Linked DNA regions of Kluyveromyces lactis. The protein of the gene in region 6 purifies or fractionates together with the protein of the main gene of each other region. This does not show direct contact. Links are inferred from orthologs where the notes say so. Each region holds a gene or a part of one and is shown on either strand. Other genes may lie near its edges. The genes, in order: TAF6, TAF5, TAF3, TAF8, TAF13, TAF7 and TAF12.

Region 1 (3,333 bases), on a different chromosome or scaffold from region 6:
CCTTGTAGAGTTTTTGGAGGAGGAAACAACAAAGAAGAAACCCAAAATGGCGTCAAGGTCGTCGTCGGATTTGAAACTGAATCGCCTTCAAAAAAGACAAATGTCTGTGCAAGATCTTTCTTTAGACGATATTGTCAAGCAAAGACAACAAATATTGGAGGAGTTCAGCACTGTTAGAACTGTTTTGGTAAACGGAAAAGCTATCAATATCTCTCAATCTCATAATAACTCTTTCCAACGAGTTGGTAAACGTAAACTTGCTAGCTATATCTCAGAAACCGGATTTGATGATAAACAGCAGGATATACATGTTACAGCAACTCCGATCAAACCTATAGAGGAAAAGAAGGACACCCCAGTGTTGGTGGCTTCCCCTTCAGTTGTTTCAGAAACACCAGTTAGGGCATCGCCAGTAAAGGTTAAAACCAGGCACGTCCGTAGGAGATTATTTGCGCCGTAGTTAATACGTATATTCGTTACAATATTTACATATTTGATGTCTAAAGCTCACCAAAAAATATAGCATCGTATAGAGTCTTTGCATCGTCTCTTTCCAGTATTACGTTGCCGACAGTAATTCCGCATCTTTCTCTCAAACGAGTTTTGTCCTCCTCACTAAAATCACCAGAAGGGTTGTATGAAGATGGAAGATCAGATTTCAAGTTCTCTAAAGTGGACACTATCACTGTTGACAATAATTTTATCTCCAAGTCAGTTAGGTTCTTTCCGCTCTTGCTGTCTTCCGATTGGCTTCTGTCATATTCCTCGAAAACTAGTTTCGACCAGTTTTGTAAATTGCCTAAAAAGAATCTTATTGTTTCGTTACCGAGGACAGAAACACCACGTACACAACCATAGTAAGTACCGAATGATCTATTGATATCCAAGAATGTCTTAAGTAAAGTTCTAGTAACACGAGGTTTCAACGATTTGTGAACCTTTGGGAACTTTTTCAAGACGTGATCGAGTAAAGAGCTAGCAAAATCACGGACAGCATTAGTCTTCTCTAAAAACTCTTTTTTATTTTGCTGGTCAACAATCTTGTCGTCAGATGAGTTTTTCGAGCCATTACCACCAAGTCTCTTCGCTAATAGTAGTGTTAAGATAGAAGGCATTAGAGAATGAATGTAAGGATCCAAAAATACTGATTGATTACTCAATAACGAATATATCATTTCCAACATTGTAGTTAACAACTCCAAATCCTCTAAATGGTGAGTAATCTGCTCTGCGATAAACTGTATGAAATATGGAACAAGCTGATGTAGTCCTGTGTCAGACTTCAACGAAGTTAAAGCTGCTGCTCTCATCCGTTGTGAATTGATATCTTCTTCCTTCGATGTAAGTGCACTAGCAACTTTTTCGAAATATATCTGTAATTCTTTAGACAAAACGTGTTTGACCAATGGCTTAGCTTCACTTGCTGCACCTGGTTTCACTTGTGTCGAGATAGGTCCATTTGCGGTGGCCTGTCTTTCTTCATTGACATTTGTTTGTAAAGAGGTTTGAACAGAAGTTTCGTTTAATGGTGAGACTATTGCTCCTCTTTGCAACGGAACTTGACTCAGCCTTAGTTCATTGATATTTGGATTTTGTGGAATGGCAGGTTGAATTCCTTCTACCGCTAGCCAATGCGCCGTGAACGTTGGTAATCTTGGAACTTCTGGTAATGGAGTATTGATCAATTTTTCAAAATCGATCTCCTCATCATCTAGGTAATAAAGCGTCTGCCCATTAGCGCCCTCCAACTTATTGAACTTAACGGGCTCATTTTTCGCTGATCCTTCCTCGAATCCATACAATGGCTCGACGTTAAGGACACGTAAAGCTTTCGCAACATCGCTTGTAGTCAAAGTAGATCGCTTACTGTGTCTCTTAAATTTCACCGCTTGTTCCACGATTTCCAAAATACGGTACTCGACATCCATCGCCAATGACCTCAACACGTCATCATTTGTATTTGAGATTCCGAGTGAATCTGCCACATCCTTCACCGTATCATGCGGGGACCAAATTGTATAAGATTGTTGCTGAGAGGACTGCTGTGACATTATTGAAATTGAACACAAATGAATAAAGAAAAGAATACCGTTTACTCGAATAAAATTTATCGCTGTTTCAGTGTATACACCTGAAACTAGAGTTTTCGAGTGGATGTTCGTGCAATAGAGGAGCGCTGGTGTTGTATTCAAATCGTTGGCTTTGTATTCCTTACTTTGAAGGATGGAGTTGTTATTCTTTCAGGATTCGATCGTTTATGTTTTTCGTCAATATTGGAAAATACCAAAAATGAAATAACGTTATCATAAGTTTACCGGATAGAGTTCCAATTGAATATGTAAGGTAAGGCAACAAAGGTAACCATTACTGGTTTGGGCTTACGTACAAATTACAAAGAAACATACTATTTGTGTTTTGAATATGTCTTCGGAACTGACACCATTGCAGCGAAGTGTGCTCGATAAATATCGCTTCCTAGCGGAGTCCTTAAGGGAATTGAGCGAAACACTTTCAGATCTAAACAACACCCATGAGGACTCAAAACCGGAAGCAATTTTACAAGAGATGCGAGAAATTGAAGTGAAAATATCTCTTGTAAGTACGCTTCTCAAAGGTAGCGTATATTCACTCGTGATACAGCGACGGATGGATCACCAACAAAAACCTTCAGATCTATGAGCGGAATCGGACTGATTATTGTAATCATAATCAGAGTTGTAACATTACATTTTAATATATATGAACATAGATATACATATTTCATTTCTAAGGCCACTCTTTTTTATTGTATTCTCACTCTGAACGTAAGAGTTATAGGGGTGATCTGATCAACTATTTGATGAAGAGATGAATCGTTTACCGTCCATATCTACAACTTGTATATAACAAGTTTACCATCCAAACCAACAGAAGAAACTTGAGTGACGTTGTTGTTAGATTCCTTGTAAGCAGCCAATTCTGTAATTGAGTTCACATGGGTAGATTTCTCTTCTTGCTGGCTAACTTTACCCTTCAAATCCAATTCCTTGAACTTTCTCAATGCGGACATACCGAAGGCACCTTCTTCTTCATCATCCCCAGTTGATGCTACCAATTTGCCAGCACTCTTAACTGGGCTATCCAAAATCTTGGACACTTCCCAACCCCTTGAACCTTCGCTGTACAAAACAGGATGATTTGAGAAACCAGCTGCTAAAATTTCATGATCATTGATCCAACATAAGGTGATGAATGGAAGACCTTCTGGGTTGTCTACACTCTTAATATCGTCAGTGTAATCAGTGATATTCAAGGAACCATCGTGGGTGACAAATGCGACCTTATCGATGGAAG
Region 2 (3,955 bases), on a different chromosome or scaffold from region 6:
ATACCTTTGGGAATATCATCTTTGTTACTATTATTTGGAATCCCTCATTACTATATCCACTGGGAAAGCTACTATTATAAAGGACATCCGATTTTACAGCAGTGGGACGCTGAAAAACCAATATTAGATTAGTTATTAGGATTCTGTTAACATTTACATTTCATTGACTGCATTGATATCAATGCACATAAAATATACGTACTCATTGTAAATAATATAAAGATAAAGCGCATTCTCTTTTTTTTTATTTATTACAATTGGACAACTACTAGATATGTCGAATAAACGACCCTTATCTGGCTGAGTAAAGTAATCGCATTTACTCAATAAATGCACCACCAGCCAAAACTAGGTTCGTTCTTGTGAATTTTACTTTGTGAATTGCTGTTTTCTTTGTATGGAACGAAGCCATCAAATCCTGAGTTGGTATTACTGCCCGCCTACGTCCGAATTCTTTGATATCGTTATTTACACTGAGTTCCATATCTCCTGAATACGTGTTGAATTGTTGTTCCGGCTCCATTCCAGGCTCGTTTGTAAACCTCTTTATATCCCAAACTCTAACACTTTGATCCGCACCACCTGTTACTAGACAGTTACCTTCTTTGTTAAAAGTTATGGAATAGATAGGATTCTTACCGTGACCCTTCATCTGTTTGATTCTTTTACCAGTACCAATATCCCATACGATAATTGTGCCATCCTCACTGCCCGTAGTTAACCACCTACCGTCAGGCGATACTTCAAGTGCGGTGACTGGTGATGTATGTCCCAAAAACAGTCTAACAGAATCACCTGTTTGAATATCCCACATACGGCACGTTTTGTCGCTGGAACCAGTGAAAACATAGCAACCATTTGGATGGAAAGTGCTACAATCCACGTCATTTAGATGACCTGAGAAAATTCTCAACGGATAGATATGATCACAAGACCATAGTCTAGCCGTTTGATCATGTGAAGCGGTGATGAAATAATGGCCAAGTGGAGAAAACTTGACGTACCATACTGGATGGTTATGGCCTTTGTAACACACTAGGCAAGTGAACGTATCTAAAGACCAAAGTCTGACAGTTTTATCTTCAGATGCGCTAAGTAAGTACCTGTTATCCGGGCTGAATGCAACGGAATAAACTGGTCCGCTGTGTCCTACCAAAGTAGCAGAGTTCGATTGGTCTTTAGCTTTGGATGGGAGGATCGACTGTAGCGGTGATCCATCAAGGTACCATACCTTAATTGTACTGTCTTGGAAACCAGCTGCAGTTAGTCTAGCATCATCACTAAATTCTACGCAAGTCATATTACCATTAGTGTTGTGGAAAGTGTACATACACACACTTGGTGCAGAAGTTTGTAGGTTTTTCAATTGGATGGAATCTCTACTCTCCCTTACTTTTTGAATTTCCATCTTTAGATCTAAAGTTGTTTTTACCGGTAGCGGCAACGAATCCTTTGCTGGTGATTCCATCATAGATCCAATTGAAGCCTCTGGTTTTTCTTCCTCGTCTTTATTCTTTGAGTCTCTTTTCTTTCTTTCAGCAGCCGATGATTCGACACTAAGTGTAGGAGTGCCTTTCTCTTCTGTATCTGCTGTTGCATCGACTTCTTCTCCACCCTCTTCAGCTTCAGGTTCCTTATTTTCATTTTCTTCCTTAACGGTGTTATCATCAGCTTTTTCAGTGCCCTCTGGTTTGTTCTGATTACCGTTCATTTCTCTATATTCCTCAACTAATGTCTTACCGACAGGTTTATCCTTATTCTCAGCTGCCTCTTGTTCATCTTTTTTCTGCAACTCAATCTCTACTTCCTTGGTGAACTCTTCGTCCTTTGGATACGGTCCTAACTTCACAGGTACCGAGTTATACGTATCAACATCAATATCACCGGTTGAGATATCTTTGATCCCGTCGGTGAGAATATCCTCAGATTTGACAACATCTACGATATTTGGATCCAAGTTTTGGTTTATGATGGAAATCAACAAAGATCCTCCCACACTTTCGTTTTCGTTCAAGAAATACAACAAAAGGTTCAAAGTAGTTCTTGAGATTGTGATCTTATATTTATTGGTTTGGAAACCTTGAGCCAACTCATTTTCCTTGATGTGATCTACTGAGTTGACACTGAATAATCGGTTAATTTCTGATCCATGAAGGGCTTTGTAATCGACAGAATACTTGTCAAAGAATCTTCTCGCTTGTAAGGGGTCCTTGATGACCAACTGTAAAAAAACGTAAATGAAAATCGGGTATATGATACGTGATAGCTCAGGTTTGTACAATTCTAAAGACGAATCGATCCAATTTTTCAACATTGAGTAAGCTCTAAAATAGTGCAAGGGTGTCACCTGTTGCGGTTTTATCAATTGGCCGTTGTTATCTCTTTTCAAGGGCATCGAAGGATTTGAAACAGGTTTTGCAGTGGTAGTACTTCCTGTAATCGCAGTGGCTGATGCAGACGAGGCAGGGATTGTGTTAGAAGCAGCAGCGTTTTTATTTGGAGGCGTCAAAGTACGTGACGATTCAGCACGAAGCATCTGTTCCGTTCTGTGATACCCCTTCTTATTCAAATATTCCAAAACGATGCGGTTCAAATCTGACGCTGAAAACCCCGGTTTAGAAGCTGCCGGTGCATTCCCACTGGCACCGCTACCGCCAGCATTGGCATTAGCGCTAGCATTTCCGGCCGCACTACTATTTCCATTGCCACTACTTCCGCCTGCACCGGGAGCCGTGGCTCCTGACGCTCCCCCAGCTGCATCGCCTGCCTTGTTTCCCTGTTGTTTGCCGTTCGAAGACATATTAAGCAAGCCGGAAACTGTGCTAAGAGGTTCTTCTCTTTCACGCTTTTTTTTTTTAAAAGGCTAAGCAAGTATACCTAGTTCCTTATTCAGCTTACTCCTAAGCTCAAGTACTGGTATAGTTCAAGCTTGCTAAGGCAATGATTTAGCAATCATTTGCTGTTTATTTGTTTACTTATTCATTCACATTTTTCAGTTTTATTTTTTTCCATATTCAACTTTCAACCTGGAAACTACTCTCAGACACAAAGTAACTGGCATTTAGAGATCTGAATTAAAGGTCACGTTTTACGGATTCAAGAATTATCTTTTCAGTACATCTCCGGGTAACAGGTTGAACAGCCCCGGAGTCCACAGCACGTTTTTAGACTTCGATTCGAACTTTATTTTAATTTTTACTCGCAGAACGCAGTTAAGCTACATATCTAGAGAACCCAGTATAAAATATATGTGTACAGAGAAACAGTGGGGAGAGGCTTTAAAGGGTCGGGAATTTTGCAGTGGCCTTGGGTGGGTAAATGAAGATCCCTATTTCACGATGCCAAAGCCATACCCCCCACAAATGACTTCCTTTTCGTTTTTCCATCCAGGGGTAGGAGTCCAGTAATTGGATCTGGATTCGTGTTTTTCAACTTCCAAAGAAGGGATGCTTATTTTGCGGGATGCCAGTTACCAATGTACATACTACGGGGGTACCTTCATTTGACGTGGCAATTGGAGGTAATGCGTGCCGCGTCTGTAATATAACAGAAATTATAAGTCACGTTGCCCTTATTTTACTATTTCGTTACCCGGTTCATGTAAAAATAATCCCATTGGGGTTCCACTAATGTCAGGAGACGAAGTTGAACAGCAATGAAACGGTGAAGTTGGGAAAAAAAACAAGAATTCAAGCACGAAAGTTGGAAAATTAAAGGAATTCGCCTTCTTCTCAGTTCTGATACTTGTCTTTCCATCGTCAAACGTTGCTCCATCTCATCGCAAGGCCCATCAGATACACTAGCAAACCGTTCTAAAACGCCAGCTGCTTCTTCTATAGAAAAGCCATACGCCGTTGAGTCACTGCGTGAGTGAATCAGTAGGTCTGTGAGTAGGATAATCTTTCCTATTGTACGTCGATTTAGATTTGCCAAAAAAGCGTTTGTTTCTAGTGCA
Region 3 (2,822 bases), on a different chromosome or scaffold from region 6:
AAGTGTTCAGCTTTGATGCAGAAGGTAAGTTGGTTATGAAAAACGATAGGAGAAGAGGAGAAAATAACAATGAAGATCCGTTAGAGGCTATTACCAGTGGTGTTAATGCATACTTAGATGCTGTCAAACAAGGTCCAGTAAAGGGTCAAAAGAACAGACTAAAATTCAAAAAAGGATCCAGAGCTGGCAATGAGGATGATTTCAGTGATGATGAACAGGAAACCAAGCTACCAAAAACAAAACCAGCTGAAAAGGGAAGAATTGGTAAAAAATCCAATGGTAGATTTAAAAACAAGAGGAGATTATAAATCACTTTTACCTGATATGCACTGCAACGCCCTAGCCCATTTATCAATTTGATAGTTGTATATAGATGTATAGTAGAATAGACAAAATCGGAACCAAAAGATTGTTACATGTGATTGATTTGAAAACAATCGAGTGAGAGTGCGATTGTTTTGTCGTAAACATGAACTAATTTTGTGTTAAACAAATTATATTTATATATCGTATGCGTGTCCAAAATCCAAAGATGCCCTTCTTTCAAATGTATTTTGCATGTCCTCCATTTCGTCTAACTCTGTGGTAACTACATTGCCTAAAGTTAAGCCTCCCGTTCCAGAGGTCTCAAAATCATAATCCGTTTTATCAATATCGGTGTAGTCTTGCTGATCTTCCTCCGTATGGAGGGGTTCAAGTAAATCGTCAATATTCTCATCTTCATATGAAACAACTATGTTTTCTAACTTGTTATTTGGGTTACCGATAGGTAACTTTGAGATGAGTCTTTTCAGAACTATTTGCTCTGCTGCGTCTTCAGTACTTTCCTCTTTTCCTTCTTCATCTTCGTTAATTTCGATTCCAACTGGAATGCATGAATTGGTAATGATAGGTCGACTTCGGCTTAGTTTAGAGTATTTTAATCCAGGAATTGACGGTAACGAAATGAGATCTTGAGGAAGTTTCCCCGACTTCCTCTTCGCAAGTTCTAATTTTTGTGATGTCAACATGAATTGTATCCAGTCATCCATATCCCCGTTGTTTATCATTGCTTCCACCAATTCTGTCTCATCATCTCCATCGTTAGGCTTTTTGTCCGATGTATTCAGCTGGTTGATATACTCCGGAATCATTGACAATGGTTTACTAGTTTTATCACCAACTTTCAACAGGTCTGGACTTGGGGTACTGATAACTCGTGCTTCTGTTGTTGCGGGATCTTGAAGTAACCATCTTTTAAACTGTTGCATACCTTCATCGCCTGCCACGGACGGGTTTTCATCGTAAACATCCAGTAGGTTCATTGGTTTAAATACGCCGATATTGAGCATTCCTTGGGTAATATCTTGAAGGGACACTTCTTCATCTAAATCACGGCGATCCAGAGTAAGTTTCCGTATTTCTTGAATCATCAGTTCTAGATATCTCACATATAAATCAGTAAAAAGATTAACTGTCCCCATTTTGGCTCTATCGAAGCCATGTGCCCTTAAAAGGTGTATCATTGAAATTCGCAGCAGCGAAAAGTAAAAACTTTCATCAGTGGTCATAATTGTGAGGAGCTGAGTAAAGCAATAACACTTTGCTTGCTCAATGCTTAGAGCGTAGAATATACAAAATACTGCAAAGTCTTTGCAATTGGCCGGTATTTAACTTATGATAAATAAATCAAAGTAAATACTGCTTAGTAAATCAATCAGTGTCCTCGAAGCTCAGTACTGGTTGCATTCTGCATCGAACGAACCCCACAATAGACAGTTTTCGTTAATGTATAGTATTTGCATGGCTAACCTACTTATCAGACAGTAAAAGTTACAAGTTCCTTCTGTGTTTTCCATTACCCGGAAACAAATCACGTGATAAGAGATTCGATCAAACACTTGCTGTTTGGCGTTACTGGAGCATAAATCCGTATTCAATGATATCAACAGGCTTTCATTGCCATGGAGCTTTTTACATGGACAGCTTTACAAGACATCCAAAGAAGGCTACTGATTCTAATTACAGGAATGGGCAATGGTTGAGAGCTGAATTCTGCCTCTCTCGAGCGCAGTTCCTATTTGTCCTATATCTTGTCAACTGCAAATTTGGAATTTTCGCGTACCGCCAAACCAGCACTTCCCTCCTGAGACAGTAAACCATTGCATCAGTACTGAATAACACGAATAGCATACCCTGGAAGTAACCAAGAAGAAAAACATAAACAACATGGTTAACTTATCTCTATACACAGTTAAAGCTGTGTTGATTTTGGATGGAGAAGGAAGAAGACTTTACTCGAAATACTTCCATCCACCACACGAAGAAATTTCTGCAGATTCTCTTGCATCCAGCTTAAAGAAGCAAAAAGAGTTCGAATCTAACCTATTTGCTAAAACTCATGGGCAGAATTCAGACATTATGATATCAGACGATCTATTAGTTATTTACAGAGAATATGTCGATGTTTCGATATATCTGATCGGTGCAATCGACGAAAACGAAATTGTTTTGCAAGAAGCATTCAACGGGTTCAAAGATTCCCTAGAATTGATATTGGATACAGGTATTGACAAGAGGAGTGTTCAGGAACATTATGACATGGTGGTTCTAGCAATTGATGAATTGATTGATGATGGTATTATCTTAGAAACTGATCCAGCCACAATTGCCTCTAGAGTGACGAAACCGCCTTCAAAGGATATCCCATTGAATATAGAATTGAATGAAAAGGGTTTGCTAAGCGCGTGGGGCTTTGCCAAGAGTAAATTGGCTGAAAGATTACAGCAGGGCTTGTAAGCTTCTCCTCATTTTCCAGATTTCTTTTATAATCAGACACATAT
Region 4 (3,553 bases), on a different chromosome or scaffold from region 6:
AGATCAAGTACACAGACCTAGGCACTACGGTAAGGGGTCAGCTCCACTATTTGGAAACTTTTTAGAGCCCCTTTCCAAGACGCCTTGGTGGATGGTTCCGGTCGTCTGGTTACCAGTCGTCACATATCATATTTATACTGCATTGATGAACATGAACCAGGCCTTTGCTATCTTCTTATTTGCCGTCGGTGTATTCGTGTGGACTTTAATCGAGTACGGATTGCACAGATTTTTGTTCCATCTGGATGACCGTCTTCCAGAGAAGCAATGGGCGTTTACCTTGCATTTCTTGTTGCATGGTGTTCATCATTATTTACCAATGGACAGATTCAGATTGGTTATGCCTCCTACTTTGTTCGTTGTGCTTTGTACACCATTCTACAAACTAGTGTTTGCACTACTACCATACTACTGGGCTTGTGCTGGATTCGCTGGTGGTATGCTAGGTTATGTGTGCTACGATTTGACACATTACTTCTTGCACCATTCACAATTACCACCTTACATGCGTAAATTGAAGAAATACCATTTGGAGCATCATTACAAGAATTACGAGTTAGGTTTTGGTGTCACCTCTTGGTTCTGGGATAAAGTGTTCGGTACTTATCTTGGTGAAAACGCTCCATTATCCAACATGAAGTATGATTGAATTAAATAATTCACTATACGTGCCCACACAACCCTTCTATCATTGTTATTCACACTATTATTATTTTTAAACTCATTTTAACGACGATAGGAACTCTTCCTCTCCCAGTCTACACATTTTTCAGCATTAACGCTCTTGTTTCTTTCTCTCTCCTTCCTTCTCTCTGTAACAAAACCCGAGAGAGTTTGATGGATACCACAAACGTCAGCGATATATGTCCACCTGAGGATATATTTCCACCAGATCTTCCATTTCAATTCCAAAACCAGTGATCCATCTCTTTTGATTGTCTTTGCCAAGAACAGGTTCTATTCTTATGATATCGTTATTAGTATTAATATCTTTTTTTATCTTCTGTTTTAACTCCATATACATCCAATACATAAATTGATACAACTGCTTCAGCACAACTATTTTAAACATGTTCGCCGGGTTGTTTTCGTCCACCTCGTGTAACTTTATCTACTCTTGATGTTATTAACATCAGTTCACGCAAATCACGTGAAAATAATAACGGTATTACCCGAACGTTATGCCATTCGAAAACTCTGAATGAATGAGTTGAAGCATTGAAGTTATTGCGAGAGACGTCTCCAAACGCTTAGCTCTTAAGGGTTAAAGCAATCAATCAGTTTCATCCTATGGGTATGAAACTGACCGAATAGTAAAGCACTCATACAATATTAAAGTACTAGTTGGCTCTTTGAGACTGAATATGACGACTTCTGAGGATAAAGATAAAAACGATGCCAAGATAGAGACTGACCAGAGACGTGTGCGACTAGATAAGTTACCTAATCTAAATGAGGTACCTCATGCCAATCCGATGGAACGCTTGTTTGCACAGGCCGTACTATTGCAATTGAAGACACTTAATAAGAATGTGGTTATATCTCAATTGGCGTTTGACGATCTTTGTTATGTTTCATTATTACAGTTAGATGATTTATTGCAAAGTCTGAAGAAGATAACTCAAGTACAGCGAAGGACAAAGATCTCCAAGCTTGATTTGAACCTCTACTTTAAAGGTATTGGTATGGATCTGAAAGATTTGAATGGGCAAGTGGAAATATCGAATTTTGTACATGGGAAATTCAAGGACGAGGCTAATGCCTTGAACGAAACTGTGCTAAAGGTTAAACAGCAGTTCATGAAAGAATTGGAAGAAAAAGAGCTTTTGAGTTCTAAACATTCAGAGTTCTTCGTGCAAGATGTTGATATATTAAATTTGTTACCTTCGAGCAACAAATCTAACAAATATGTGCCCAGTTGGTTGCCAGAACTACCGCCTGATCATACGTACAAATTTACCTCGTTGTACAAGAGACCCATTACAGATGAGAGGCTGATGAAGAAGAAGTTACTAGAAGAAGGAAGGCTTTCGGAAAAGGCATTGTTGAATATGCTTAGTCAAGTTGTCAATCAGGACCCACTGGTAGCGCTAAATAAAGATAGCGACCAGTCTGCCAACAATGCTGCCCTTTCTGAACATATTAAAGAAAGTCAGTTAGAAACCGATTTAATCTTTGACCCTCATAAAACCATACCTACAGATAAAGAATGGGGTACAACAACGGTCCTTCATGGCATCGAGTCATTCAATCTTTCGCCAGTGAAGAATTTCAATGTGTTAGAATACTGTAAGAAGAGAGATGCAATAGTAAAACGAAGGGCTGAAAGGGCAGAAAACCAAGTATCGAATAAGAGACGTAACCCATTCATACGAGGTGCCATGATCTGTTCACCCTACGGTCAAGGGAGTACCAAATCGAGGAAGTCAGTTGAAAATCAATTGAAAACAATGCTAAGGCGTAGTTACTTGGGGCTGATAGATTCCATACCGAGAGTCAAAGAAGTACGAGAAAGAGCGAGAAAAGAGGCAGAAGAAAGAGAGAGACTTTTACAAGAACAAAGGAGAATAGAAAAGGAGAAGAAAATGGCCGAACAAGAGATTCTTGATCTTAATAACCTACAAACTGATCCCCTATTGCATGGCTGGGACAAAGACAGCGAAGATGATGACGAAAACGACGACGAAAAATTTCTGACGCAGGGACCGCCAGAGGTACAAGCAATAACAGATACTAACATTTCAACTCTGGGGGAGTTGGCTTCTGAGCTGTTGCACGGACCAGATGAAGAAAAACCGATGGAAAGCACAGAGACTTTTGAAGATGTACTTCCGTCAATTACCCCCGCTAATTCGACTCCTTTACTTTCAGAAGTCGCATCGGGATCCGCATCAGGTCTGACGCCGAAAGATATATCGGAAGATGCACCAGAAGCAGGATCAGAAGAAGCTAAATCAGAATTAGCCCTTCATACATCACCGGGAGTTGCCACAGACGAGTTGCTAGAAAATCAATCACAAGATCACGATTCTAACGTGAATGATTTATTCTGATATATTTTGACTTTCATTATAAGTAGTCATATTAGCTAATGAATCAAAACTATGTACATCATAATTCGTATAGTCAGTAACGTTTGTATTCTCCTAATGCTAATCAATGTAACACCACTCATACACGCGATGCAAGAATACTTCATGCTGTGTATGTTCTGTTTACTTCTCTCTTCATATCTGTTTATCCATTATCGATCGAATTTGAATTTAAATAACAAACATTTCTGTTAAATAAAAGCCAACGTGAAGACATAACAATGAATTTCGGAGTTGCAAGAAAGGGAACGGGCTGTCAAGCGGGATTCCAAGCGCGGTAAGATGTCACTCGAAACTAATGTGAAGGTGACCAGTGACCTACCATATCCCATCACTGTTGCGCAGTTGTACGTAAAACCGGGTGATCACGTTGAAAAAGGCCAACGATTATTTGCTTACGAGTATTGGGATTTCCAGGACGTTCTGGTGAAGTATGAGGAGAAGACTAAGAAGCAGCGGGT
Region 5 (2,432 bases), on a different chromosome or scaffold from region 6:
AGCGTTGCGGTTTATCGTAACAAGTTATACGGACCTACCTTCCACTGTTAGTAAGTACACTGTACTAAAGCTCAATAAACTCTGGAACAAGTTTATTGGTGTTCCAAACTATCTCGAAGAAGGAGAGGAGCTTGAATATCCATCCTACAACTACGAAGAATAGATTAAAAACCTCTCAAATTGTCATTTTATATGACAATTTGTTTATAGATATTAAGAACTACAGGAGAACCAGCTGAAAATTCCAATTATGAAGATAAAGGTGATTATGTTCAAATAATACCCTCTCATAAGCTATTCATTTGGTTAATATATAGCTAATAGAAAAAATAAACGTATATGTTGCCGCTAAGTATGCATAAATATGGCATTTTGTTCAGAAAGGCGTAATACTATAATGATAGAATTTATATGAGGATTGCTTTGTTTTTTCACTTCTTTTGCCCAGCAAGAGAAGGATTTCAAGTACAGATATGCTAGGGGTAATGCGAATGTAACTCTCAGCTTGTTTCCCGTTTCTTCTTCTTAGGAGGTTCATTTCCCTTTTTCCTTGGTCTGCCTACCGGACGTGAGGTAGGAACGGGTTCAGGAACCGTTGTCGTCTCCTCATCTTCATCAGCCGAAATGTGGTCATCATCACCGTCATCTTTCACTCGTTTCAAAGATTTCCCCTCTGAATTATCAAATTGTTTCCTGGCATCGGTAATAACTTTATTCATCTTAATCAACTCTTCAGCTCTACCTAATTTCACCTCGTCCTTTCGAAGTACAAATCTGAAATCTTCCACTTTAATCTTATTCCTCTTCACGGTTTGAGCCGAGTAGTACGCATTGGCACATATATCGCTCAAATAAGACACCACCAATTCGTCTACACATTGAATGGTCTCTGGTAAAGGTTGCGCGACATCACCAAACGCATACATCAAAGAGCCAACATCTTTACTGAAAAGACTTGTTTTACGAATTCTTCTGGACATTCCTGTGTTGATCTAGAACTCCAACCGACTAGTCAGCTCTACTCCATGGAATGGACGAATGCGCTATAAGCTAAACTGTATAGCTTGATCATTGTTTCGTGATTTTGATTCTGGTTCTGAGTTTTATGTCAAACTGTCAACTTAAACACAGCGAAGAATAGTGCGAGTTTGCTTTTTTTTTTTTCGCAGCAAAAAATCGCTTGCGTTTTTTTGTCCCCAAATATCATGCGCAGTCCATCCAACAGTTAAGCTATATAGGGAGCTTTTTAGCGAGAAAGAAATTGACAAATCGCCTAACCCTTCCGCTTGTGTGAAAATTTTGAGAAAAGACGAACAGAGGAAAGGACATGACAGATCCACATCGCATCTTCTGAGGATCAGATAAACAGAGCAATGATAATAAACCGATTAGTACCGCTCAAGATAAGGTTTTAGTAGATATTATTGTTCCAACAGTGGCATCATTTAGACGCTCATCTGCGTGTGGTTGATATTGAAGGTTTGGTAAATATTGGAGGCTATTTTTCCTTCACAGCGACTGTGAGTCAAAGAGGATACAAGCAGGAATGAAGCCTGCGAAGCCCAGAGTGAAGACGTTCACGGGATGCTGGACATGTAGATCAAGGAAAGTAAAGTGTGATCTTCGGCGGCCCGGATGTGAGCGATGTGAGAAAGGTGGGTTAATATGTGGAGGATACGATGTAAAACTTCGGTGGACCCGGCCAATTCAGTTTGACACTATGGGTAATGTGACCGCAACACCTACAGGAATCAAAGATCCAGATGAGCCTCAGTATCAGAGAAGAAACGTTGATTTCGTTCGGTACAAAGAGGAATATGTGTATTATGAGGATATGGACGATGAATTATCAGCGTTAAGCTCTCCTCCTTTAGAGCTCATCTCTGAAGACAAGACTTGGATTATAAAGAAATTTGGTGTGTTCAAAGGCACAGATAAGGTCAAAAAAAGGTACGTGCCACGGAAGAAACGTAAGAAGAATCAAGTTTTCATTAATGCCATCGAAAAAGCTCAGAAGAAACTAGCTAATAAGAAAAATAAGGTTAAAACTGCTGATTCAGATTCGAAAGAGGGCACAAATTTATGCACTCCAGAAGATATGGAATCATCATCTGCTAATGATGATCATACATCTGCGCAGCAGCTTCATTCCCTATTCGAATTCGATATGAATTCTTTGTTGTTTCCTGGGAACGAGTGGATCTCAAATGAACTACGGGACGATGCATTACTATCGGCGTCCGCAGTGCAAGGGGAAACAATACCATTTATGGGTATTCGTCAGAATAATACACCGGATACGCCACAAACTCCTCTCACAGTAGATAATATGGGGAAAAAGAATGGTAGTGTTAATGGTAATTGTAATGACGGTCGCACATCTGGAAACGATAATGAAGACGAATTGGCTAGAGTCTATCGGCTCCTCTTCC
Region 6 (4,028 bases):
GCCCCAAAATTTCAATCATCTCTTCTACTGGTTTGGATTTAAGGATCATTAACTTTTGCGTTACGAAATCCCAATGGTCCAAATCTATGCTGTGATCCCTAGGGTTGATTTCAACAAGTGAAAGATCGTCTGGACTTTTATTATCTGAGGGAATTATCACGGGATCAAACTTCTCTATGCAATCTGGAAGGAACTTTTTTACTGAGTTTTCAGAAGTCGCAACGAGCTTTGTATTAGTAGCTAATTCGGATAGAAGAGTAAGCCTGTTTCTGTCTTTGTTTGAAAATGGTGCGAATAATTTCCTTGCAGTTTGCTGAGGTATCCAAACTAACATCTTGACCAGACCAAATCTTTGCATCCAATTCTGGTTCGCTATACACTGCAAATATTGCACGTATAGCTGTTCACCCTTTTTATTGGTCAAATTGGCAGCGATCAAGAATTCATTGTGAATATGATCTCTTTTCTGCATGCTAGGAGTAAGGACTCTGTCTTCATTTGTCATTTCTAAAAATGTCTCCCATTTATATGGATTTTTATTGTAATTAACCATCGATGGGTGATCCTTCAAAGTTGCTTGATACAACTCCACAAATTTCAATCGATCCTCTAACAGGACATGCTTCTTTGGTTTCAGTCTTTCATTAAGTATGACTGATTGAATCAAAGGCCCGGCGTATATATCCAGTATTTGTAAGCTTTCAGACTTGTAGTATGATTCTAAATTCAACTTGTCTAATATTTGGTTTATTACCTTGGGGTTTTTCTCAAATTGACTTCCATAACTGGTATGAATCTTATTTGCTAGTGGTAGAACCGACTTCAGAAACGAACTCTTGGTCATGATTAGGAAAAATTCTGTAGTGTATTTGACAATAGAGAACGGATATTGTATATTGGAGCACAGAACTCATATAGAAGGTGCCAGTTCCATCCAATGAGTGCAGATCTGCTGTGACTTGTTTACAACTTTCATCTGGACAAAATGAAGCGATGAGTTGAAATATGAGCTTTTCCATTTTTCAATTCGGAATTTTATAGTGATGATGACGCTGGTGTTATAAAGACACCTAGGATAGTTGCGAACTATAAGCTATGATCATCAGAAGTTTCAAACTATTTTAAGTAGTTACTCCCTGATAGTATACAGTAGTACTTTAACATGACTTGCAATGCATTAAGCCAAATTCAGCGTTAGTCTGGACGTTTCCACGTGATCAAAACTCGCTTCAAATTACATAATGGAGGAAATCGTGAAATTGGAAATAATGTTCGACGGAAAATGTTTAGCTATCTAGATGTACAGTGAAAGTAAAATGAATGGTTGACCCAATTGGTGTGACACATACGACAAGGGGTCTCTCAAAAGACAGTAAACATTCAGTTTTAGTACAGTATCCCACAATGGGTCCGATAATCAGAATTAACAAACCCAAGGAGCCTGAATCAGGCGGTGGAACGGAACCTAAACTAAAAAAGATCAAGTTAAAGACTGGAGGAAGCAGTTCCAGCAGCAATAATTCCAAGCCTGCACCAAAGCTTAAAATCAAACTGAAAAAGCGTGATAATCAAGAGGATAAAGATATCAGCAATAATAATAATGTGGGCACTTCGAAGGGAAGCTCGCGGCCCATGAAGTTAAAAATCAATCTAAAAAAACGGGAAGATTCACATCCACAATTAGTGCCGCACTCCCAATCGCATCAGCAGCAGCAGCAGCGCAAAAGTACGAGTGTTGTCAAGACTCCTAAGTTCAGAATCAAACCTGTACGAGTTCCCGGTGAAGGGTACGATTCTGAGGCCAGTGATGTAGAGGATGATCCGCTAATCGAGGAAGGTATAATTCTAAGAGTATTACCAGATTTGAGTGCAGAATTCGTTAAAAACTCTATAGAGAGTGGTGATTACTCTGATGTCAGTATCAAATGGAAGGGTGAGAGACACGCGGTTGTGAAAGTGAATGGGGTGCAATATGGTGCTGTATTAGTCAACTTGCCAAGTATAATCGAAGTTAACAAGAGTGTTGACAGAAAGAACTTATTGAAGACGTTTGACGTTAGTCAGATGTTAATATGTGTTCGTACAGTGAATAAGGAAGAAGAAGTGTTTTCTTTGCAAGTAAGCGATACGGAAGATCTTACTAAGAAACATTTTGAAGAGTATCAGAAGGAAATTACCGAGCAACGGAAACAGCAACTCAGAGGGTACAATGGCGGCCCATTGACTGATGCTGAAAGTAAAAACATCGAACAAATCATAAACAAGCGTTACGATTATAAGCATGGTATCACCCCTCCTTTGTATAATGCTCGCAACCGTCGCTTCAGACATAGGATGGGACCAACTGCCTTTGATTATGTGGAACGTACTGTTGAAAAATTATTGAAATTAGATGCTGAAGCTGAAGAGTTCGGGTACGAGCTAGTTAATGAGGATGCAATTCAACAGCAAAGGTCTACAAGTGCAGCAGATCTTGCACATTATCAAAAGGCTGGTGAGCATATGGATGAAACATCTTCTGTTGGCTACAGCCAAGAGATCAAACCACATCATGTTACAGGTGCCGCGGAAGAAGATGAGGAAGAGGATCATGAAGAAGATCTTGAATTGGAATTGGAACAAGCTCTACAAACAGAAACTACTGATGGTTCTATACCGGCAAGCATGGTTAATGGACCGGCTGGAGCAGCGATGTCTACAGATACTGGCAGTGTTGTAAGACCAGGACAACTTCTTGAGGAGACCGGTGATGACGTTGAACAAGATAACGGTGATGATGAAGACGAAGAGGAGGAGGACGAAGAGGAAGAAGAGGAGGAAGAAGAGGATGAAGAAGAGGAGGATGAAGAGAACGGTGCTGATGGATTATCCGGATCAGTTACAACAGGAACAACTAAGTCACGTGTCTCAGACAACGATGGTGCTAACGAAGAAGAGCAACACAGAGAATTATTACTTGATGAATTGAGGGAACTAGAAAGTACGTTAGAATTAAACCGGAATAAAGCCAGTAGGACTACGAATCCGTTGTTAAAGACAAGATTCTTAGAAAGTATCAAGAAGCTTGAGAAAGAAGTTGAATTGAAACGAAAACAGTTAGGAGAACCAGTTGTTGTAGACGATGCAGGAAATGTACAGACAGCTCAAGACATCTCAGAAAACGTACCCGATACTGAAGCCGGTGCAGTATCGAACAAGGCCGCAATCAGAAATGGCAGCGTTAGTAGCGGTGGTAGTGGCGTAACCGGATCGGCATCAATTCCAAACAATGCTACGATTACCAATGGAGTGGAAAACATTGGTACCGAAGGGAATCTTTATGAGGAGGAGGATGAACTAGAAGAAGAGGAAGAAGAGGAGGAGGAGGAAGAGGAGGGAGAAGAAGAGGAAGAAGAAGAGGAAGAGGAACAGGAAGAGCAACGGCCGGACGAAGAACCGCAACAAGGACAAGAAGCAAGACAAGGTACTGAAGAACTTGATCAAGATGACATGGATATGATGCTTCTTTTCGGAGCGGATAACGATTAGGTTTGAACTGAGAGAAAAGAAACCACTAAAAGAAAAACAAAAACAGAAAAAAAATCAATACCCGAAGAGACAATAAGAGATACGTGATGATTTAGCATGTTATCTGAGTTTGGAATAGCATTACAGCTTCCCATGCTCTACAAGGGTGAACGATATGACTGAATGCCTGAACGAATGCGTGAATGAGTTGTGTAATCTGAATGTATAACTGAATTTATCTAGAAGCATTTTTTTTTTTTTTAAATTCTTTAAAGGGAAGTAGAAACAAGAATCAAGACAGGCAAGGAAGTAATGGATGGAGATCAATGGGAAACACGGGGCAACAACAAGAGGAAAATTACGAATGCGAACCTCTTCTCGTTTGCCGAAGCCTCTTGACGACGGCACACAAAGGGAAAGAGGCAGCAGGTGTTAAGAGGCACCTCACTTCGCCGTTTCTTTTTACTGCCTACAGAGCGGCTGAAAGAAAAAGGCCCTGCCATGTACATCTCAAAAAGGTG
Region 7 (3,512 bases), on a different chromosome or scaffold from region 6:
TGGAAGATAGATCGACTGATTTGAAGTAGAAATTAACCCAAAAAGACCACTTTGTTCAAAACGTTGATACGATTTAACCATTGTGTATCAATTTAAACTCCACACTGCGGATAATAGTAGCAATAACTGATATCTTACACAGGGTTATAGTATATAAGTTTTGTTATACTTGTTCTTGAACAGCATTATGCGATGAGATGAGATGACCTTCCATAGTTTTTAACGTTTTGGAAAATTTTGAAAAATACAACTTGAAGCCATGAAAAAGAAAAGGGTGGTTTATACATATATGAGACAGGCAGAATAGGACAAAGAGTATTAAGAATCAGTTTCCCTGGACTTGATTATGCATTGTTGTAGGTACTCATCCACTTCTCCATTTTCAATATTTTGAGGAATTGTTACATTAATAGATATATGATATATGATGTATAATATATGCATCAAATTAAGTCTGTTTGAATGAATGAACTTGTTTAAACAGTGGTAATTTATCCATTTCACTTCTTTTCGGGATGTGTACGTGCAGTTTTATTGTTATTGATTGCATTTACCATTTGATTGTACGAAGGGGTTGGATTCCATTTCTTGGTGCTACGGATTTCATCGTTGGCAAACCCTGGGATTCTGATATTCCAATTACGTTCCAGATGCATTTGGATGTCTCTTACGTCGAGTGAATCGGATTTTCTATGTTTTGCCAATTTACAGGCGAAATTCGTAACATTAGTAATGAAATCGTCTGCTAGATCGAGTAATAGCTCTTCCACATCACCATCAATGGTGGTTTCACCATCACCTTCGTCTATACCCACCGTTTTGACGAGTTCACGGAGCTTTCTTTTAGACATCACACGCTCAGTATCGACCTCATATGGCGGTAGTTTGGTCATAACAGGTGTAGTTAGCGCTGGCGCGTTCATACCACTACCGCCTGTTATCGTAGGTCTGTTGCTTCTGTATGACACTGAAACTGTTGGGGATGCGGTGACATTTTCACTTATTGGTATCGATGGGTTTGGTTGCTTGAAGATTGGTGGTCTTGTATTGCTTTGTGCTGTTTGATTTGCAGCTGCATTCACCGTTGTCACCTGCATTGGGGACGATTTGTCAGAAGCTGTGTTATTTGGTGCGGCAGCTGCTGAGCTCGGGTTTGCGTTTGTTGCAGTTGCAGTAGTTGCAGCGGTCTTTTGAATTGGTATATTTTGTCTTTGCGCCATAGCATTTGGAGGACTACCACTCGAAGCTTTATTCAAACTTGTTGGAATTGGTGTACCGGTGTTGGTTCCTGGAGTAGAAACACCAGCCTGAGGTCCCGGTGTACCTGCATTTGCAGCTACTGTACCCTGTGACTTAGCAGCATTAGCTTTTTGTTGCTGTGCTTGTAGATATCTTCTTAAGTCAGCATTAGTTTGAGAACACTCAATGTAAAACTTTCTTCTGTCCTCTTGATATTTCTGTTGTAATGTCGAATACTGGGCACTCAATGCCCTGATTTTCATTAATAATTCATTCCTGTTAACCTCTAATTGCTGCACCGATAGACTGTTACCTCGTCTATTCCTGATCTCTTGGTCCAAAACACTAATATTTCTCTTCAAAAAGTTGAATTCTCCCTTGATATTCTGACCGTCATCCTCATACTTTTGAACCAATCTATTGTAAGCTTCACGCTGTTGAGGAGTTAATAAGACCTTTATGTTATTCGTCACATTATTGGAACTGGCGGTAGCTTGTTGTTGCTGCTGCTGTTGCTGCTGCTGTTGCTGCTGATCCATGGATTTAACATTCGTGGCATTATTATTTACAGCTCCCTGTGCTCCAGCCTGCGCTTGGGCCTGCTGCTGCCTCTGTTTACTGTAAGCCTCGTACAAAGCCTTAATACGGGCCGCTTGTCTCAATAGCTCTTTCCCTTCCTTGGTATCTACACCAATTCGCTTAGCTTCGTTAACTAACGATTTTAGTCTATCCGCCAATTGCTGCATAGAAGCTGGCGTGAGGTTCTGCAGCTGTACATTACCTGCTTGGCCTGACATTGTCCGTATCTTGGTTCGTAATCCGAAATGCACACCGCAAGCCCACTTTAAGTGTCGAAATACCCTCGTGCTGGCCTTCTTTGCCCCCGTTTTGCCCTTGCTTTAACCTCGCGGCAACTACTTTCGATTGTTATTCACTTGTTGATCTTTGAAATATTTTTGAATTTTGATGCTGAAAGGAATAGGAAGACAAGTGTTACCCTGACAACATACACAATGCGTATATATGAATATATGTATCTATGAATATGTTCATAAGCGATATAGGTGTTTGCGCTGCATCACAGCTTGTCATTTTCTTCCAAGAATTCGTAATATTCGTCTATAAGTAGCGGCCAAGCAGCCATTTCATCATAGTTTTGTTTTAAACTTTCGTCATTGGGGTATTGTTCAATGAACTTATAGAACATCAACCATATATCGTTTGAGATGTTCTGTTTCCTTGGATCCGAGTCGTCAGAATTGATGAATTCAAGCCATGAATTAAGTCTCTCCTTGGAGATTTTCAACGCATATTTATTGTCTTTAAAGAAAATATTCCAGTATTCTATTGCGACATCTTTAGGTAAATGACGAGATCCCTCGTCTGTATTCAATGGGAAAGTGTAGGAATAGATTGATTTGAAATAATCTTTGTCCGTCTCCAGTCTCTCTTCTAGCGTATGTAAATAGGCTTTCATCTTTCTTAAAGTGTCGCAACATAAATCTGACCAGGCATTTAGGAATTGTTCTCGAGATACTGGTTTTGTTAAATCGTCGATGCATAGCATTTGAGAAAGACATAGCGTGATTGGGTCCTCTATCGATATACCGAGGTCTTCAATAAACCGTATTAGCCCAGAAGAGTCCCATTCTGTTGCCGAAACGCCATTCGAGTACTTCTCAAAGATAGCCACTAAACTGGGATTGTAAGATTGACGCATACCTCCAATGGTATCCACATTATCATAATAATCGTTCAAAGCGTACTCGACACGCCCTCCATTCTTTCGAAGGTATTCCTGTGCAACAGAGTACGTGCATCCTGTGAGGTTCATGAACTCTTTCTCCTATTTTTCCAAATGATTATTTGATTAGCATTTGTTAGTAAAGGTGTCATTCACCTGACCAGAGGGTAGAGGCATAGTAAAAAACATACCATTATAAAAACACAATACGATGAAATTTCTGAAGGGTTGTTATCCACGAGTAAATGATCGCTTGCTCTGGCGTTTTGTCGCGAGTAGATTGCTTTCTTCTTTACCCTAAAACTCGAAACGAATATGAAGTAAAACATGTAATTTCACTTAAAATGAACTTGTCTGTATATTTAAAATATGTCAACAAACGTAATGGTCATAGTGAAAAGTGATGAGAAGCAGGACTAAAGGGACCCAGCACCGTTGACCGAATGACTAAGACTGATGACGAACTTAAATTACTTCATGAGAAAATTCTACTTAACCTAGCTTCGAATTTAGAAGAAGAGGTAGATAT

Evidence for each region.
Region 1: the proteins of TAF7 (region 6) and TAF6 purify together in Saccharomyces cerevisiae (affinity purification with mass spectrometry; 6 studies listed by BioGRID). This does not show direct contact. The link is inferred for Kluyveromyces lactis from reciprocal best matches to the Saccharomyces cerevisiae genes TAF7 and TAF6.
Region 2: the proteins of TAF7 (region 6) and TAF5 purify together in Saccharomyces cerevisiae (affinity purification with mass spectrometry; 6 studies listed by BioGRID, with this or other methods). This does not show direct contact. The link is inferred for Kluyveromyces lactis from reciprocal best matches to the Saccharomyces cerevisiae genes TAF7 and TAF5.
Region 3: the proteins of TAF7 (region 6) and TAF3 purify together in Saccharomyces cerevisiae (affinity purification with mass spectrometry; 5 studies listed by BioGRID, with this or other methods). This does not show direct contact. The link is inferred for Kluyveromyces lactis from reciprocal best matches to the Saccharomyces cerevisiae genes TAF7 and TAF3.
Region 4: the proteins of TAF7 (region 6) and TAF8 purify together in Saccharomyces cerevisiae (affinity purification with mass spectrometry; 4 studies listed by BioGRID). This does not show direct contact. The link is inferred for Kluyveromyces lactis from reciprocal best matches to the Saccharomyces cerevisiae genes TAF7 and TAF8.
Region 5: the proteins of TAF7 (region 6) and TAF13 purify together in Saccharomyces cerevisiae (affinity purification with mass spectrometry; 6 studies listed by BioGRID). This does not show direct contact. The link is inferred for Kluyveromyces lactis from reciprocal best matches to the Saccharomyces cerevisiae genes TAF7 and TAF13.
Region 7: the proteins of TAF7 (region 6) and TAF12 purify together in Saccharomyces cerevisiae (affinity purification with mass spectrometry; 5 studies listed by BioGRID). This does not show direct contact. The link is inferred for Kluyveromyces lactis from reciprocal best matches to the Saccharomyces cerevisiae genes TAF7 and TAF12.

Annotation. Positions count from the first base shown.
Region 1 is NC_006042.1:979,141-982,473, reverse strand, and holds TAF6 (TATA-binding protein-associated factor TAF6), read right to left. Parts: upstream 2,052-3,333; coding exon 501-2,051; downstream 1-500. Other genes in the region: SLD3 (Sld3p), read left to right, coding at 1-460; DAD3 (Dad3p), read left to right, coding at 2,422-2,679; ARC40 (Arc40p), read right to left, coding at 2,870-3,333.
Region 2 is NC_006041.1:2,087,361-2,091,315, reverse strand, and holds TAF5 (chromatin modification protein), read right to left. Parts: upstream 2,801-3,955; coding exon 320-2,800; downstream 1-319. Other genes in the region: GPI2 (phosphatidylinositol N-acetylglucosaminyltransferase), read left to right, coding at 1-132. UniProt on the Saccharomyces cerevisiae protein: Functions as a component of both the DNA-binding general transcription initiation factor complex TFIID and the transcription coactivator SAGA complex.
Region 3 is NC_006042.1:2,524,125-2,526,946, forward strand, and holds TAF3 (Taf3p), read right to left. Parts: upstream 1,551-2,822; coding exon 501-1,550; downstream 1-500. Other genes in the region: mRNA-binding protein RRP12, read left to right, coding at 1-308; RET3 (coatomer subunit zeta), read left to right, coding at 2,209-2,778. UniProt on the Saccharomyces cerevisiae protein: Functions as a component of the DNA-binding general transcription factor complex TFIID. Binding of TFIID to a promoter (with or without TATA element) is the initial step in pre-initiation complex (PIC) formation.
Region 4 is NC_006040.1:143,440-146,992, reverse strand, and holds TAF8 (Taf8p), read left to right. Parts: upstream 1-1,364; coding exon 1,365-3,053; downstream 3,054-3,553. Other genes in the region: SCS7 (fatty acid alpha-hydroxylase), read left to right, coding at 1-649; FCP1 (protein serine/threonine phosphatase), read left to right, coding at 3,375-3,553. UniProt on the Saccharomyces cerevisiae protein: Functions as a component of the DNA-binding general transcription factor complex TFIID. Binding of TFIID to a promoter (with or without TATA element) is the initial step in pre-initiation complex (PIC) formation.
Region 5 is NC_006040.1:863,411-865,842, reverse strand, and holds TAF13 (Taf13p), read right to left. Parts: upstream 981-2,432; coding exon 501-980; downstream 1-500. Other genes in the region: ERO1 (ER oxidoreductin), read left to right, coding at 1-163; ARG81 (Arg81p), read left to right, coding at 1,547-2,432. UniProt on the Saccharomyces cerevisiae protein: Functions as a component of the DNA-binding general transcription factor complex TFIID. Binding of TFIID to a promoter (with or without TATA element) is the initial step in pre-initiation complex (PIC) formation.
Region 6 is NC_006038.1:736,647-740,674, forward strand, and holds TAF7 (TATA-binding protein-associated factor TAF7), read left to right. Parts: upstream 1-1,320; coding exon 1,321-3,528; downstream 3,529-4,028. Other genes in the region: MTF1 (RNA polymerase specificity factor), read right to left, coding at 1-844.
Region 7 is NC_006040.1:1,375,453-1,378,964, reverse strand, and holds TAF12 (Taf12p), read right to left. Parts: upstream 2,037-3,512; coding exon 501-2,036; downstream 1-500. Other genes in the region: snoRNA-binding rRNA-processing protein DIP2, read right to left, coding at 1-81; NEDD8 ligase DCN1, read right to left, coding at 2,318-3,085, 3,175-3,312; APC2 (anaphase promoting complex subunit 2), read left to right, coding at 3,427-3,512. UniProt on the Saccharomyces cerevisiae protein: Functions as a component of both the DNA-binding general transcription initiation factor complex TFIID and the transcription coactivator SAGA complex.